Elephas maximus indicus: one gene and its partner. The protein of the gene in region 1 interacts with the protein of each later gene in a pairwise test. Links are inferred from orthologs where the notes say so. Each region holds a gene or a part of one and is shown in the gene's direction. Other genes may lie near its edges.

Evidence for each region. The genes of interacting proteins can lie anywhere in the genome.
Region 2: the proteins of HPRT1 (region 1) and ISCU interact in binary tests that used the Homo sapiens proteins (3 or more experiments, as listed by UniProt). The two-hybrid records come from large-scale screens. The link is inferred for Elephas maximus indicus from reciprocal best matches to the Homo sapiens genes HPRT1 and ISCU.

The regions. Positions count from the first base shown.
Region 1 is NC_064846.1:21,482,687-21,490,541, reverse strand, and holds the start of HPRT1 (hypoxanthine-guanine phosphoribosyltransferase), read left to right. Parts: upstream 1-4,855; 5' UTR 4,856-4,984; coding exon 4,985-5,056; intron 5,057-7,855. UniProt on the Homo sapiens protein: Converts guanine to guanosine monophosphate, and hypoxanthine to inosine monophosphate. Transfers the 5-phosphoribosyl group from 5-phosphoribosylpyrophosphate onto the purine.
Region 2 is NC_064840.1:19,109,922-19,117,688, forward strand, and holds the start of ISCU (iron-sulfur cluster assembly enzyme ISCU), read left to right. Parts: upstream 1-4,750; 5' UTR 4,751-4,790; coding exon 4,791-4,904; intron 4,905-6,633; coding exon 6,634-6,747; intron 6,748-7,767. Other genes in the region: SART3 (squamous cell carcinoma antigen recognized by T-cells 3), read right to left, coding at 2,658-2,984.

The DNA.
Region 1 (7,855 bases):
TTCTGACTCATAGCGACCTTACAGGACAGAGTAGAACTGCCCCACAGAGTTTCCAAGAAGCACCTGGTGGATCTGAACTGCCGGCCTTTTGGTTAGCAGCCATAGAAAGAAAAGAATTTTTTTTTCTTTTTGTAGTACTTAACCACTACGCCACCAGGGTTTCCACTAAAGTACATAATTAATGAAAAATTAAATACCCAAGTTGTTTCTCAAGAAAGTTGATGATGGATGTGTCAGGTATACACAAAACATTTGTAGACATTTATCATCCACATGCGGGACATGAAAACCAGAAGACAAATCTACTGAGAGAAGGTGTCAACGTCTATGTCAAACATTTGTGTTATTTTGAGAAGGGTGTGCTCAAAGATCATTTAACCAGGTGCAGCTGCAGAGGGGGTATTTCCATATCGCTCTGTGAAGAATGTCTTTTGTTTTCTTCAAATGACTGTTCTTCAAACTTCATTTGCTCATTTTGATTTCAACGTTTCTTGTACACGATGAAAAGTGAAACGGTAGATTTCATGAGTAGCTCTCTGTTAGCAGAAGAACTTCACGTTAAATCATGCCAGTTTTATATCAGTGTCATCAGATGCTTCAACTAGAAAATCGGTTCCAATGAAGGTTTAATTTCCCGTCCAATTCATGGAATCAAAGTAAAGTTTATGGAAGTTAATTCTGATGTGAGGGTGAAAGAGCTGACATTATTAAGAAATTCAGTTTAAAAATTCAACACTGACGTCTTTTTGCAGCATTACATACATACATACATACATACATACATACATGCGTGTATTTTTGCATAGCAATACAAAATTTGGAGGTGCACGGCACTAATGGTATAAAAACCATTTTCTTACTAAATTAAGAAATGTACAGAGCAGAAATAGAATTGGTTGTGATGCACACACAAATTCATAAATGTGTTCAAACAAGTAGATGACAGAATGGTTTCTGGAAAGGTAGGAGTGGAGGTAGAGGGATTTTGGGTAGGAGCCCTGGTGGCGCAGTGGTTGAAGCACTCATCTGCTAACTGAGGGGCCTGCGGTTCCAACCCACCAACCTGCTTCGAGGGAGAAAGATGTAGCAGTCTGCTTCCATAAAGATTACAGCCTTGGAAACTCAATGAGGCAATTCTACTCGGTCCTATAGGGTTACTAGGAGTTGGCATTGACTTGATGGCCATGGGTTTTATTTTTTTACCCGTGCTTGCCTTATTTCTTCCTGCAGACAGACATTTTAGCAAAGAACAGTGGCATACCTAGCATATTTTAACAGTAAGTTTTTTGTTGTTGAGATTACACAAAACAGAACATATACCAATTCAACGATTTCTACCTGTGCAATTCAGTGACATTGATTACATTCATTGAGTTGTGCAACCATTCTCACCCTCCTTTTCTGAGTTGTTCCTCTGTCCTTAGCATAAACTCACCGCCCCCTAAGCTTCCTATCTAGTCTTTCGAGTTGCTGTTGTCAGTTTGATTCCATATAGATAGCTCTTTAAGAGCACGATGCTCAAGGCAGACATTCTTTACTAATTAAGCTAAACTACTATTTGTTTAAAGATCATTTTGTGGGATAATACTGGAGTAGAGAAAATACATTTTCTCTAGTGTTTTAAATATTCGAGGGAATATATTTTCTAGTTTGTTTTAGTATAGCTGTATAAGCTGTGATTAATCTCTAGTTTTTGGAAAATGGTACAGGTTCTGTTCAAGATATAGCTGAGCAGCCTGTTCCGCTCTTAAACATACCAAACACCCTAATACCTTACAACATGTTTTCTCCTATTCAAAATGGGTGATTGAGAGCTTGACGCAACTAACGCCATAATGATCTCTAATCTCTAAACATTTTTCATTGCACCAGCTGCACGGGTCTCTTCCAAGGGAGGGCGGAGCTCTCTCAGCTCCTGTGGCCTTGGTCTCTCTTCTCTTTTTTGTTCTTTTGAGAAATGGCCTTCAGCCGGCAAAACGGCAGTGAGAAAAGCTGACACTTTTTAATCTGCAACTTTCTTTCTTGCTCCCTATCTCAGCCAGAGTGGACTTGGCAGAACAGTTCCACTAGCCGAGAGATTCTTATGTGAGTTTTTCAGCCTGTTACAAACATACTGATTAGAGTCCAGATGTCTGGCATGCATATCTTTAGTTTAATAAAGAGTTTCTTATAGTTGTTTTGTGATGTGTAAGACCATCTGTGGGCTACGTGCTCAAAAACATTAGGTAGCCCTGACCTTCCCCCTATAAAACTCTCCACTAGCTCTTTAGAATTAGACAGAATTTGGGAGAAATTTAACCCCCTCTGTCTCTTGAACTGGGTGGGTTTGGGTCTCTTGAATACCAGTATTCAATAAAGCCTTCTTACTGCTTACCTCCTCCTGTCTCAGTATGGGCTTTGCGACAGGCGGCTCGAACCCGCGATTTGCGGTAACAACACCTAGTATATTTGACACCCAGAGCCTCTATATGATGAATTTATTTTCAGTAATAATCACGTAATGATTAGTAAGGATCATTATTTTCTTGATTCCTTCTTTAGTTTTAAAACAATTAAAAGTTAAAAGACTAAATTTCAATTTTGAATATATTGTCCAAATTCGGTAAGATATTTCATATTTGAACAAATTTGCACTTACCAAAGATTACGTCTCAAAGTTTGCACTGTTTGCTGTTTTACATTTTAAATACAAATAAAAACTCCTGGTGTTTTTTTTTTTTTTAGTGATCACATAGAGTGACAGGCTATCACTGTTTATTTCAAATCTATTGTTGAAATGCAACAGTGTGTGGTACCGCAGAGGTTGGGGATAGGAAATGCAAACCAGAAGCAAGCTGGGAGGATTCTGAATTGTTGGGTACCTAATTTAGAAACAAATGTGGGTAGCTGAGTCTGCACTTGTCAGGGCCGGATGTATAACTGGAAGTTCTCTGAATTAACTTCCTGGTAGAACTCAATGTTTATTAAAAGGGTTAGTAAAAATGTGCTAATTTGAACATCAATGTCTATACTCAATAGAAATGCCCTCATGTCTTCATCAAAGACATATAAAGAATGTGCATAGCAGCACTGTTTGCAATAGCCAAAACCTGGAATCTGCCCAAATGCCCATCAACAGGGGAACGGATGAGAAGTCGTAGAGACTAGGATACAGAGTGAAAACCTGTTTAAGGCAAAATTATGAACCATAAAATTATTACTTATTGAACCAAGCACTATGCTAGACACTTTTACGTATATTATTTAGTTAAATCCTCATCATACCCTGTGAAGGAGATATTATTCCCATTTGATATTTGAGGAAACTGAAGCACACAGAGGATCCTGCCCAAGGTCATAATGCTAGTTAGTAAACAGTGAGATCATAATTTGAACTTAGGTCTTTCTCAGTCCAAAGCCCACATGTACCTTCTCCATTATAGCCTGCTGCCTCCCCATGATAGGTAGGGAAGACAGAGAAACAGGGAAGTACGGACTTCAAAATGCTTAACTTATAACAGCTAACTCCTCCTACTATGTGGCAAATACTATGCTAGGTGCTTTACATACATGATCTTTACAAATTCTCATAATAATCCCTCATGGCAGAAATTATTATTTTCATTTTTTTAGATGAGGAGACTGAGGCTCAGAGAAGTCCAATGACTTGCCCAGTTTCACAGATATTCTACCAGCACGTATCTCTTATATCCCTCAGTGTCCTTACTAAGAGAGAGGCCACCAACTTTGTGCCCGGCACTGTGTGGTAGATGCTGGCGCTATACACAGATGAGTACATCAGGAACGGCATCTCTGGAGCAACTGTGGCTTACTTAACCTGTTTGAGAGTCAGTAGGCGATTTTGTTTTTTCAGTTCCAAAGAGGAAATTGTTGAGGCAAAAATGAAGATCAGTAACAGCGATAGTTCCCATTTACTGAGTGTACATTGTCTTAAGTACTGTACTTTATAACTCCATAAATTTCTTAATTTACTAAGAACATGGTTTTTAACCATATGCTGTGGTCCTCCAAAATTTGTATTAAAAAATTTTTTTTGTATTGCTATGCAAAATATCTATGTATGTATATATATACCATTGCAACAATACTTATTTTAAATGTTGAATTTTTAAACTGAATTTACAGTAGCTTTTTCTTAACGTTGGGAACCCTGGTGGCCTAGTGGTTAAGTGCTACAGCTGCTAACCAAAAGGTCAGCAGTTCGAATCACCAGGCTCTCCTTGGAAATCCTGTGGGGCAGTTCTATTCTGTTCTGTGGGGTCGCTATGAGTCAGAATTGACTCGACGGCAGTGGGTTTTTTTTTTTTTTCTTTTTTGGTTTTCTTAACGTTAATGTCCTCATTTTACTGAGCCTCCAAGAGTCTAAGTAATTTGGACAAGGTCACAGAGCAGTTAAGTGTTTCTTCCGGATTTGCATCCTCATCTGGCTGGCTAACTCTAGGGCCCTGGGTTTTAACTCTCATAGCCAGTTAAGGATTTTTGGAAGAACTTGGCCACAAGTCAGGAAAATGGAAGCCGCAAGCTGGTGCAAAGTCTTAGGAAAGGGACGCCTGATGAGAGGCGCCACGTGAGGACTGGAACCTGCAGAGCCGGCGCCCAGTTTAGGGTCACGACGAAGAAACACAGCTGGCGGCTGGTTTAGCACTCTGGAAGCCACCTGCACGGGTCACTCAGGGAAGGTGGGACCGAGCCTGTGCTGGGAAAGGGGGCGGTGCCGGCATTTTCCGGAAGAAGATTCCCACGGCCGGCCGCCTGGTGCGGTGGAAACCTGTAGCCGAGGGCAGAGGAGCGCGCGCGCGGGATGCGGGGGCGGGGCCGGCGCCGGCGCCGGCGCCGGGGGCGGGGCCTGCGCGCCTCAGCCTCAGACGCCGGCGGCTGCGGCAGCGAGCGTTCGCGCGCACCCTCGGCCTTCCCGCGCAGCACCGCCTTGCGTTCGCCTCGGTCCCCGCCTCCGTCTCCTCCTCTCTCCTCAGCCGGCTTCCTCATGGCCGCTTGCCCGTCCTCAACTCGCGCGCCGGCCGGCTCTGTTATGGCGACCCGCAGCCCCAGCGTCGTGGTGAGCAGCTTGGCCCGTCAGCTCGGCCCGGTCCAGGCCCACGCGGCCCGCGGCCGGTGGTGGCGGCGGCGGTCGCCCCGGAGCACGGGGCCCGCAGCGCGGGCTCGGGCGGGGTGGCCCGGGGAACCCCGGGGGTGGCCTTTACGTCACACGAGGGCGGAAGGGGGGACGGAATGGCGGGGTTTGGGGTGGGTCCCTCATTCTGAAAGCCCGGGGAGCGAGGGCTGCGTGGGGGAGCAGAGGGTGCAAATGGCGTTTTGGTTGACATGTGCCACTTGCAAGCGTGCTGTGGGGCGAGGAGCCGTGGGCCAATTCGGGAATGATCTGGCGGGGTGAGGGGTGGGGGCTGTAGGCTTGTGGTGTGGTGGCGAAGCCCTCAGGGCGCCCTGTAGAGGGCCTAGGCACGAAAGACGACCCCACAGGAGGGGATGTGGGCACTGGTATTTCCGCGTGGCTCTGTAGGTAATGTTGGTGGGACTGCTCACTGCCCCACCGAACGCTCACACCAGCCCTGGTAGCGGTAACCATGCCTACCTAGCTCACCCAGGGTGAAAAGATGTTAGGGAATTTTCCCACGGCCCAGAGGAGCCAGGCCTGGAATTCAGATAAGCTTGAATCCGGATCCCAGGTGATCTTTGATGCTGTAGGGGATTAAAAGATGCGACTCTGGTCCTTTATCATGAGCAGTCACTGGTATCTTGTCTCGAAGCTCATTAGTTTCTTTTTTTGTTCCTTAAACCAGCCAAGCTGCCCATCGCTGCCCTTCGCTGATGATGGTTGCTAAAATAGACACCCCCCCACACCCCTTAAATCCCTTAGCCTACTTTATTGTCATTATTTTAGTGATTACCTGATTACCTGTGGAAACCCTGGTGGCCTAGTGGTTAAGAGCTACGGCTGCTAACCAAAATGTCGGCAGTTCGAATCCACCAGGCGCTCCTTGGAAACCCTATGGGGCAGTTCTACTCTGTCTTACAGGGTCGCTGTGAGTCGGAATCAACTCGACGGCGTCGGGTTTGGTTTGGTTTGATTGCTAATTGATTGTCTCTCCCACTAAAACAAACTTCCTAAGGGCAGGAATCACCGCTTTAACCCCAACGTGTAGCACAGTGGCTGGCATGTAAGAAATTCTCAATAATTCGTTGAATGAACAAAATGATTTGTTGAATGAACGAATTAAATAGTTAAGAAAGGACTACTTCTTGTTAAGCATTGTGACTGAGAGGAAAGTTCCTAATGGAATCTTGCCTTCGGAGAGTTTACTTATATAAAACTGAAGTGCTAGCTACCTCAGGGAGTCCCTGGGTGGTGCAAACCTTTAATGTGCTGGGCTGCTAACCAAAAGGTTAGAGGTTAGAGTCCACTCAGAGGCACCTGGGAAGAAAGGCCAGGAGATCTCCTTCTGAAAAATCAGCCATTAAAAATGCTGTGGAGCATAGCTCTGCTCTAAAACACATGGGGTCGCCATGAGTCAGAATTGACTCCATGCAGCTGTGATTTTTTAAAACTTCCTCATGGTGTTTTTGAACCAGCTGTAAAACTGTGTGAAGAAACACCCTTGTGTGATTCCTGACGGGGAGTAGTAACAGCAGTCACTGTGTTAAGACCTTTACGTGCATTTAGTCCTCAAGACAACTCTACCATTGGTACAGTTGTTACCGTTTTACAGATGAGGAATCATTGGAGCCTCAGCGAGCTTAACAGACATACCCTCGTTCACACAGCTGTTAAGAGGAGGAATCCAGACTCGAACCTAGGTCTCCTACTCTAAAACAGTAGTTGTAGGTACTCAAGAAATGGTGATAACTTGTTTTTATTCAGTTACTGAGGAAGTTAAATATCAAATTTATATACATTTAGATGCTTTTAAAGGTTTGGAGAATGATGCCTGCTGCAGTATACAGTGAACTTGTGTATGAGGTGCAAAAACTGGCTGCTTTTAGTTTCATTTGAACGGAGGCTTCGAACTGGTTCATTCTGGTTTGAACCCCTGCTAATAATTCACATTTCCACCCCCAGATATACTGAATCATAATCTGCATTTTAGCCCTGGACAGCAGGAGAAAAATTGCAAAACGGAGCAATCAAATTCTCAAAAAATACCAGACCTTTCAGACAAACCATAGACTGGCCCATAAAATAAACACCTGAGAGGAATGTGTTCCTTAAAACAATCAATTATATGAGCTCAAAAGGGCAATGCTTGCCCAAAAGCAAAGTTGAGAAGGCAGGAGAGAGGGTACAAAACCAGGGTGAAAGGAAACAGGGAACCTAGGACGGAAGTGGGGAAAGTGCTGACACATTGTGGGGAATGAGATCAGTGTCATGGAACACTTTATGTATGAACTATTGAACGGGAAGCTAATTTGCTCTGTCAGCTTTCACCTAATGCACACACAAAAATTTTTTCTTAAAAAAATCTACATTTTAACACGATCCCCAGGTGATTTTTATGTGTAATTTTGAAAATCACTGCCCTACTAGTGGTTCTCAGAATTGTTCCCAAACCAGCAGGATTAGCATCACCTGGATACTTGTTCGAAATGCAAATTCTTAGGGGTTTGAAGGAATGAACTGGTTCGAAGCCCAGGTGTTACCTTAACTGGAGTTAATTTCCTTGTTTACTGTAATTTTCGATAATATATTTTTGTAATTAGAAATTTTGTGTAAACTACAAAAAATTTCAAGTATGAAGGCCATTACAGATGTGACATACATAATAAAGAACTTGTGATGCCATGTTTTTTACTAGAAAGTAATTTCGTTACTTTATGATAGGAAAACTATTGATTTTGATTT
Region 2 (7,767 bases), on another chromosome or scaffold:
CACGTTTTAGTTAGCGGCCAAGCACATTGACTGTTTACACCACCCAGGGACTCCTGGCAACTGACACAACTACTATAAAGGAAACCATCGAGGACACAGGAGAGCTCAACAATATCATCGACCGACAGGACCTAACTGACACACACACAACACCTCAGCCAACGGTAGCACAACATACCTTCTCAAGTCTCCACGGAACATTTACCCTCTCTTGGGCCGAAACAGAAACCTCAACAAATCTAAAAAAACTGAAATCATACAGAGTATGCTTTCTGACCACAAGAGAATCAAACTAGGTATCAATTGCAAAGCCAACAGAAAAACCTCTAAACATTTGGAATTAAGAATACACTTCTAAACAATATGGATCAAACACGAAGTCTCAAAGAAATGTTTTTTAAAAAATATTTAGAACTGAATGGACATGAAAACAGAACACAGCAAGACAAGTGGGATGCAACTAAAGCAGCGCTGAGACGGAAATTTATAGACTTAAATGCTCATTCTAGGAAAGAGGGGAGGTCTCAATCAATAATCTAGGTTCCTGCATCGAGAAACTAGAAAAGAACAAAACAATCCTAAACAAGCAAAAAGAAGGAAATAAACACATGTGGATGTGTTCCGAGCTTCCAAAAATGGCAGGGCCAGGTTTCCACAGGCCTGTTGGAAAGTTACTTATCGTTACGCTCCATCATAAGGACAGTTACAGCAGGAACTACAGACTGCGGGGTTAGGAGGAGGTTAGGAAGGAGGTCTGGAAAAATTGGAAAAGTCAATTTCTAGACCTCAGGACAAAGAGGATAAGGCCAGAAGTCCTTCAGCTCACCATCGCTTGCCAGGTCCCATCCTATGTGGTCACCTTCTGAGCTCTATCCCACCCATCCTCGGTGACCCGAGGCAGGACAGGCAATTGTATAGTAGCCAGGAGACCTTCATGCCGACCTCCATCCTGTCGCCTCCTTCTCCTTAGTAAGTAAACTATGTACTTTCATTAAGGACTTCATCTCTCTGGTTCCAAGCCTCCTCTTCCTACTAAAACAGATGATTCTAGTTTCCCTACCTCATAAAACATTAAGGTCAAAGTGAGCTAATGGCTCATCAAAAGACCTAAGGCTAGAAATATGAAGAACTGATTTCCATACAGACAGGGACACAGTCAGTCTGGCAGGTATCACACCGTACTTGCTGAATGAATAAAAGACTGAATGAACTTCAGCATACTTACTTATAAAAGAAAAATGGTAACCACCTGTCTATCCCAACTGGTTCCTTCAAAAATCAGATTCTATGACAAATGCAACAAGTTATACCAACGCATGACGTTATCTCATAACTTAAAAACAGTGCCAGCAGGACATGCAACGTGGCATCTGGTCCACAGGCAACCTTTAAGAGTTCAAATCCCACTGTGAGTGACTCTAGGCAAATCATTTCATCTTTTGTTCTGAGCCTCTTTCCTTTCCTCATCTGTAAAATGAGAATGTGCTCAATCTCTTCAGTTTGCCCCTCCAACTCCACACCACCCTCCTCTCCCCTCCCTGCCCTGTGCCTTCCTGTGTGATCCACATCAACTGGGCTCTCTGGCCTTCAGTTGGGTTTGCTCAGTGGGAGACTAGCAGAGATCTGGAGGAAGTGAGGGAGATAAAAAGAGTTTTTCTTCTTCCACTTGCTTCCTTCCCCTACTGGGAAACCGCTGGCTGCACCCTTTGACCAAAGGTCTCAGCTCCTCTCAGATGCCAACCCCACACAACTATTCACACTACTTCAGGCCTAAAGGTGGACACCAAGTCCTGTTGTTACCAACTGTGGAATACTAAACCTTTGCTTCTTACTTGCCTTTACAAACACAGTAGTCCCTTTATGAACCTTTTCTTAAATTATCCTAATTTGAATGCACCATCTATTTCCTGCTGGGATCCTGGCTTATCCAAAAGATACCACCACCTACATCTCACAAGGTTGTTTTACACATTAGAGGTCATGTTCCTCGTGGGTGCTAGGCACAGGGCTAACATTACTGTTATGACCATTTTATGATGCAAGAACACTGCTCTTAATTTACAAATGAGAAAGCAAAGGATCAGAGAATTTAGGAAATTCGCCCAAGCACATACAGGTGTGGAACAGCTACAACGGGGGTTTGAGCCTCCAACTGAGTAGCCTCTATCTTTCCATTCCTATTTTCATCGTCGGATCAATATTTATTCGACTACAACATATTTCATCATCGTCGTCATTCCTACAGACAAATAGTGCTCTTACAATTAAAATTTACTTTACTGCTAGATGTAGTTTAACTGTGTGGTTAGTGGGAGTCCTGGAGTCGGTTCGAAGCTCAAAGCCTGACTCGCTACTTGCAGAACGTGTAATCTTGAGCCAGAGACTCCCCTCCACGAGCCTCAGTGTCCTCCCACGAAACGGGGACAACGCTACTGCCTTCACTGGTTCGCTGCGAGTATTCAATGGAATAATGCTTGCAAAGCGCTGGGCACGCAGCGAGCGCTCAAATAATGGAAATTGCAATGTTAAGTAACGGTTCTGCGGCCTTGGAGGCTTTACTGCCGCTGAGGATCAGGGCAGCATCTCTGCTCCAAGGGGCAGAGGAGCGGGCTAGGGCCTGGAGGCGGAGGGAGCCCGCTGCCCACCCCGGCGCCCACCTGCTCCTCCAGCCGCTCGATCTCCAGCTGGTTTTTCTCCTCCTCTTCGTCGTACTCCCACTCGTACTCCCCCGGGGAGCTCTCCGCTGAAGAAGCCATGGCGTACTCTTCATCTCCATCGCTCTCACTCACGCCTTCCTCCTGCGGATCCCACGCTGGCCCCACCGTCTTGTACGACGCAGCAGCCACAGCCCGCGATAACACCTTCCTCCTCGTCCTGGTTTCCTTAAGCTCATCCTCGTCTCCCTCGGCCTTGGGCCCAACTTTGGGCGCAGTCTTGGGCTCAGCCTCCGGCTCTGAAGCGGAGGATGCAGCTGCCGTCGCCATCTTGAGTCTCCAGTGACTTGGGTCCTTCGTTCCGCCGCCGAAGACTGGCTGAAGTACAAGCTGCCCGCGGCGCACGCCTGATCAAAACCCCGCCCTCTGGCCACCGAATGGGAAACTGCGAGCTTCGGATGATGGGAAAATCTCTAAATACACGCCATTCATATTAACTTTACATATTTGTAAAAGATCCTGTCAGAAAAACAATTCTTTAACATGGCATATATTCCGCCACAACTTCGGACAGAAGTTGGGTCTTTGGGCAGGAAGTGGAGGGCATAGAGGAAGTCATGAAATGAGCGTGATGACTGTAGTTAAGGTTTTGACGCCATTTTGAGAAGGTCAAAGGGACTCCTCGAATATATGCATTAATGCCTCTTGTGACCTGGCGCGTGGTTCAGTCACCTCAGCAACCGAGACACAAACGTAGTGAAAACTCCAAGTCCTTGGAGAAGGATCGATTGCGCTATTTATGAGAAAAATTCATTTCCCAAAGAGATTCCTCTCATTATGTAAGGACTGGTGCCTAATCCAAAACCAAGCCCTTTACCGAGTGGATTCTGACTCACAGCGACCCTAGAGGACAGAATAGAACTGCCCCATAAAGTTCCCGAAGAACACCTGGTGGATTCGAACTGCAGACCTTATGGTTAGCAGCCATAGATAGCACTTAGCCACTACACCACCAGGGTTTCCGGCTGGCACCTGATAGGACCGGTGCCTAGTAGGTGTTAAACGCACACATGAGTTTTCCGGTTTTATAAGATATTCTGCAAATCAATATGAATTATTTCCTAAGCATTTATTTAGAAACTCTTAACTGTCAAGTATTACCATATAAATTTTGATAGTTTACTGTTGTATAGAGAGAAATAGATAAAGAATATTTTTAAATAGGTATATACTTTTTTAATTCAGGGCATGGTGTTCATTTCCTCCTTAAACTCCCATTTTTGAGCTAGGAAACTATTGTTTCTTTATTGCCTTTCTCCCTCGTTAGTAAGCTTAGTTGGGACAGAAATTACATTTGTTTTGCTTTTCGTTGGCTCGCCAGAGACTAGTATAACGCCTTGACAAGTAGGAGGTGCTCAATACATATTTGCTGAATGGGCGAAACAATTTTATTTGAATTAATGCAAAAAAAAAAAAAAAAAAGAGACGCTTAGAGAGCTGATGTCATTCGTCTAGGGTGACAACCAAAAACCAAAAAAACCAGACCCAGTGCCGTCGAGTCGATTCTGACTCATAGGGACCCTATAAGACAGAGCAGAACCGAAGAGCGCCTGGTGGATTCGAACTGCCGGCCCTTTGATTAGCATCCGTAGCACTTAACCACTACGCCACCAGGGTTTCCAGGGTGACAACCAGGAAGGGGCAAAATCAGGACTCTAACCCAGGGTTGTTCGAATCCCAATTGTACCTAACTCTAAGCGACCTCAGACAAGTTATTAAACCGCTCGAACCTCAGCGTCCTTAGCTGCAAAAAAGGATGAGAGAGCGGACTGGGTGACCTTGTGTGCTGCATTAAGTCGGGTCCCTCACCCCAGCTTTAGGTCCTTTCCCATCCAGAACGCAGCACCTAGGACTCGCTTTCGTGGTACTTGGACCTTCCCGCTCCCAGCCCCGCCAGCCCCCGGAGAGGTGTGGTCAAGGTGGGGACAAAGCACGAACCGCACGGGGCCGAAGGGCGCAGGCGCGAAGGCGCGGTGACGTAAGAGGGGGCGCGCCCTAAGCGAAGCCCGTCGCTCGCTGCAGGGCGAGCCACGCCCCCGGCCTCGCTCTTGGCTGGCGCAGGCGCGACCCCGCAAGATGGCGGCGGCTGGAGCGGGTCGGCTGCGCCGGGCGGCGTCGGCCCTGCTGCTCCGGAGTCCTCGCCTGCCACCCCGGGAGCTGTCGGCCCCGGCCCGGCTTTATCACAAGAAGGTAGGGGCAAGCATAGGGTGCGCGGGGGACGAACGGGCGAGGATCGCCGAGGAGACGAAGGTGTCCGGAGGCGTGGGGGAGGATCGGGTTGGGGCCGGCGACCGGGGGACTGCGCGGCCTGGAGCTTCCTGCAGCCCGAGGTCCGGGGATCCCCCGGCCCTGGGTGGAGGGACTGTCTCCTCCCACACCTTTGCCTCAACTAACTTTCTCTCGTTTCGCAATGGAAATAAAAGTAATAGCCGCTGCTTGTCGAGTGGCGACTTCCAAAGGGCCTTACTGCTCGTTGCTATTTTGTGCGTCACAGCCCTTAAACTTCCCTAACAGGACTCTTCTGAGTTCTTGGACCTGTTATGACTTGTCAGCCTGACGCTAGGGCACGAGCTCCTCTTCAGCCAGGCCACTGCCCTGGCTAAGTGACCTTGGGCAAGTCACTGCCCCTCGCTGGACCTCATTCTTTTCATTTGTAAGTTGGGAATCTTAGCAGTCCCTTCCTACAAGAGAGAATGCGTGTAGAGTTCTCTGCATGGTACCTGGCACATAGGCCCAACACACGGAGACCATCGATGATGCTGCTGCTATTAGTATTTTAATAAAATGATCTCAAGCGCTATGGCGGACCTCACAGCGATGACCAAGATCTATCTGCTTGTGGAGCCCATAGCCTCGTAGTGGAGTCAGGCACATGACCAACAATCAGTCACAATGTCCTTGTCTTTGTTTTTTTCTGTTGGGGGGTGGTGTGCGTGCGTAGATTGCAGCCCTTGCCTTCTGGAAGCTTAACGTCCCCTAAAGATGAGACTCTTCTGCTCGGGAAACAACTAAAGATCGCTGGAAATCAACATGGGGCAGAAGTCCAGAGTGGATTTTATCTTGTGGGTCCTTGGGCTTAGAGTCAAAATCAGTGGTTGTATAGGCAAAGGGGAGGAGACTGGAAGATCAGGATAGTTACTGCTGTGCTAGCTGGGAAACAAGCCTCAAGATTACTAAAGCCTACTGTGTCGGACTGAATGGGTATTTATACTGTTCTGGCTTCACCACGTTTGTCAAGGGCTAGGGCACTCTCCTAGACCCAGGGAGAGGTTTTGTTGACAGCCCATGGTGACTGAACTTGGGCTAGCAGCCTTTCAGCCACTAGGGCGCGCTGCTGAACCAGTGTTATTTCAGGGCCATGAAATACAGTAATGAGACTTTATTTTTTAAAAAATCGTACATAGATGGCCACATTCCATAGCATTCTTCTTTCGACAAGAGTCATCTTGAACCTTCTGGGAATGCTTTCGTAATTATTTTAAGAATTTGTTTATAGTAACCTTTTTTTTTTTTAGATCATTATCTTTTGAAAATTGACTTTATTTGGAAATAATAGAAATGCTGTGTGAGCCCAAGTCTCGTGACTTGGTTTGTGACTAAAAACCTCCTGGGACTAAGACATAATTTAGCTGATTTTTCTCCAGGATCTCAAACAGTGTCTGAAGGTAGTTGGAGAGGAGATACAAAAAGGTTTTGGATAACAAATGGTTCTCACTGACACGAATGTAGGCCTTTCTCCCCAGGTGACTCTTGGTGTTTGCTGATTGCCTGCCAGCTTCCGGTTGCAGGCCCTATGCCAGGCTCAGAGAACATGGGCTGGTAAGATTCGGTCACTGACTTGGAGGAGCTGACAGTCAAGTTGAGGGGACCGGTACCAAAAAGAGAGTGGTCTTGATTTCTCTTACCCTTCTCATTTCAGGTTGTTGATCATTATGAAAATCCTAGAAATGTGGGGTCCCTCGACAAGACGTCTAAAAATGTCGGAACTGGACTGGTAGGGGCTCCAGCTTGTGGTGATGTAATGAAATTACAGGTAGGACGGGTTTTCTTCGTCTCTCACGGTGGTAGCAGTAACCCCTTTGAAGATAGCACCAAACCAAACCCAGTGCCGTCCAGTCGATTCCGACTCATGGCGACCCTACAGGACAGAGTAGAACCGCCCCATAGAGTTTCCGAGGAGCGCCTGGTGGATTCAAACTGCCGACCCTTTGGTTAGCAGCCATAGCACTTAACCACTACGCCCCCAGGGTTTCTGAAGGTAGCACAGGACCGGGCAATACTTCATTCTCTTATACATAAGGTGGCCATGAGTTTGACCCCACTGCACAGCAACTGACAACAACAGCAACTTTGCTTATATGGTGCTGCGGAGTTTACAAAGCATTTGCACGTACAGCGTTTTGTGTGGTCGCCATCTTTATTCCTATGAGGCGGGATGAGTCCATGTTAAATAATTAGTAGAAAAAAAAATTTTTTTTTCTACTAATTATTAAAAAAAAAAAATTATTAGCAGGGACTAAATCCTAGTTCTCCTGCTGTTACACTCTGCCCAGCCTTTCTGAAATAGTGATCTCACAGCTCTGCTCCCTGTATCAGCTCGAATTTCATCTTCTGCTAAGTAAAAAGTGTTGTAAATTTTACTGATCGAAGGAAAACCACAACTGTTTAGCTAGCAAACTTCAGTAAGACAAGAAACACAATAAATCAAATCTCTCCCCAAACTGGAGGCAAAATGAAGGTAGTGGCTGGCGCACTGGGTAAACTATAGCCTTATCCACAATGTTCTTCATCATGGGGTGTGGGCAGCCTCCCAGAGGTTTCCATGCTTATCTTGGGAAACAGAAACAAGGCAGGAAGGACCCACTAAATGCAGTTTGTGCCAAAGGAAAAAGCATTAACCAGAGAGCTCTATTGCATGCCCTCCTGCGTTTAAGGAGGCAGATTGGCCCTGACGCCATAAACAGACTTCCTCAAATAGAACTGCATAGCCAAAAAGCAGACTACCTGTACCATACCATAGCATACCCATTGGCGTCAAGTCAATTCCAACTCA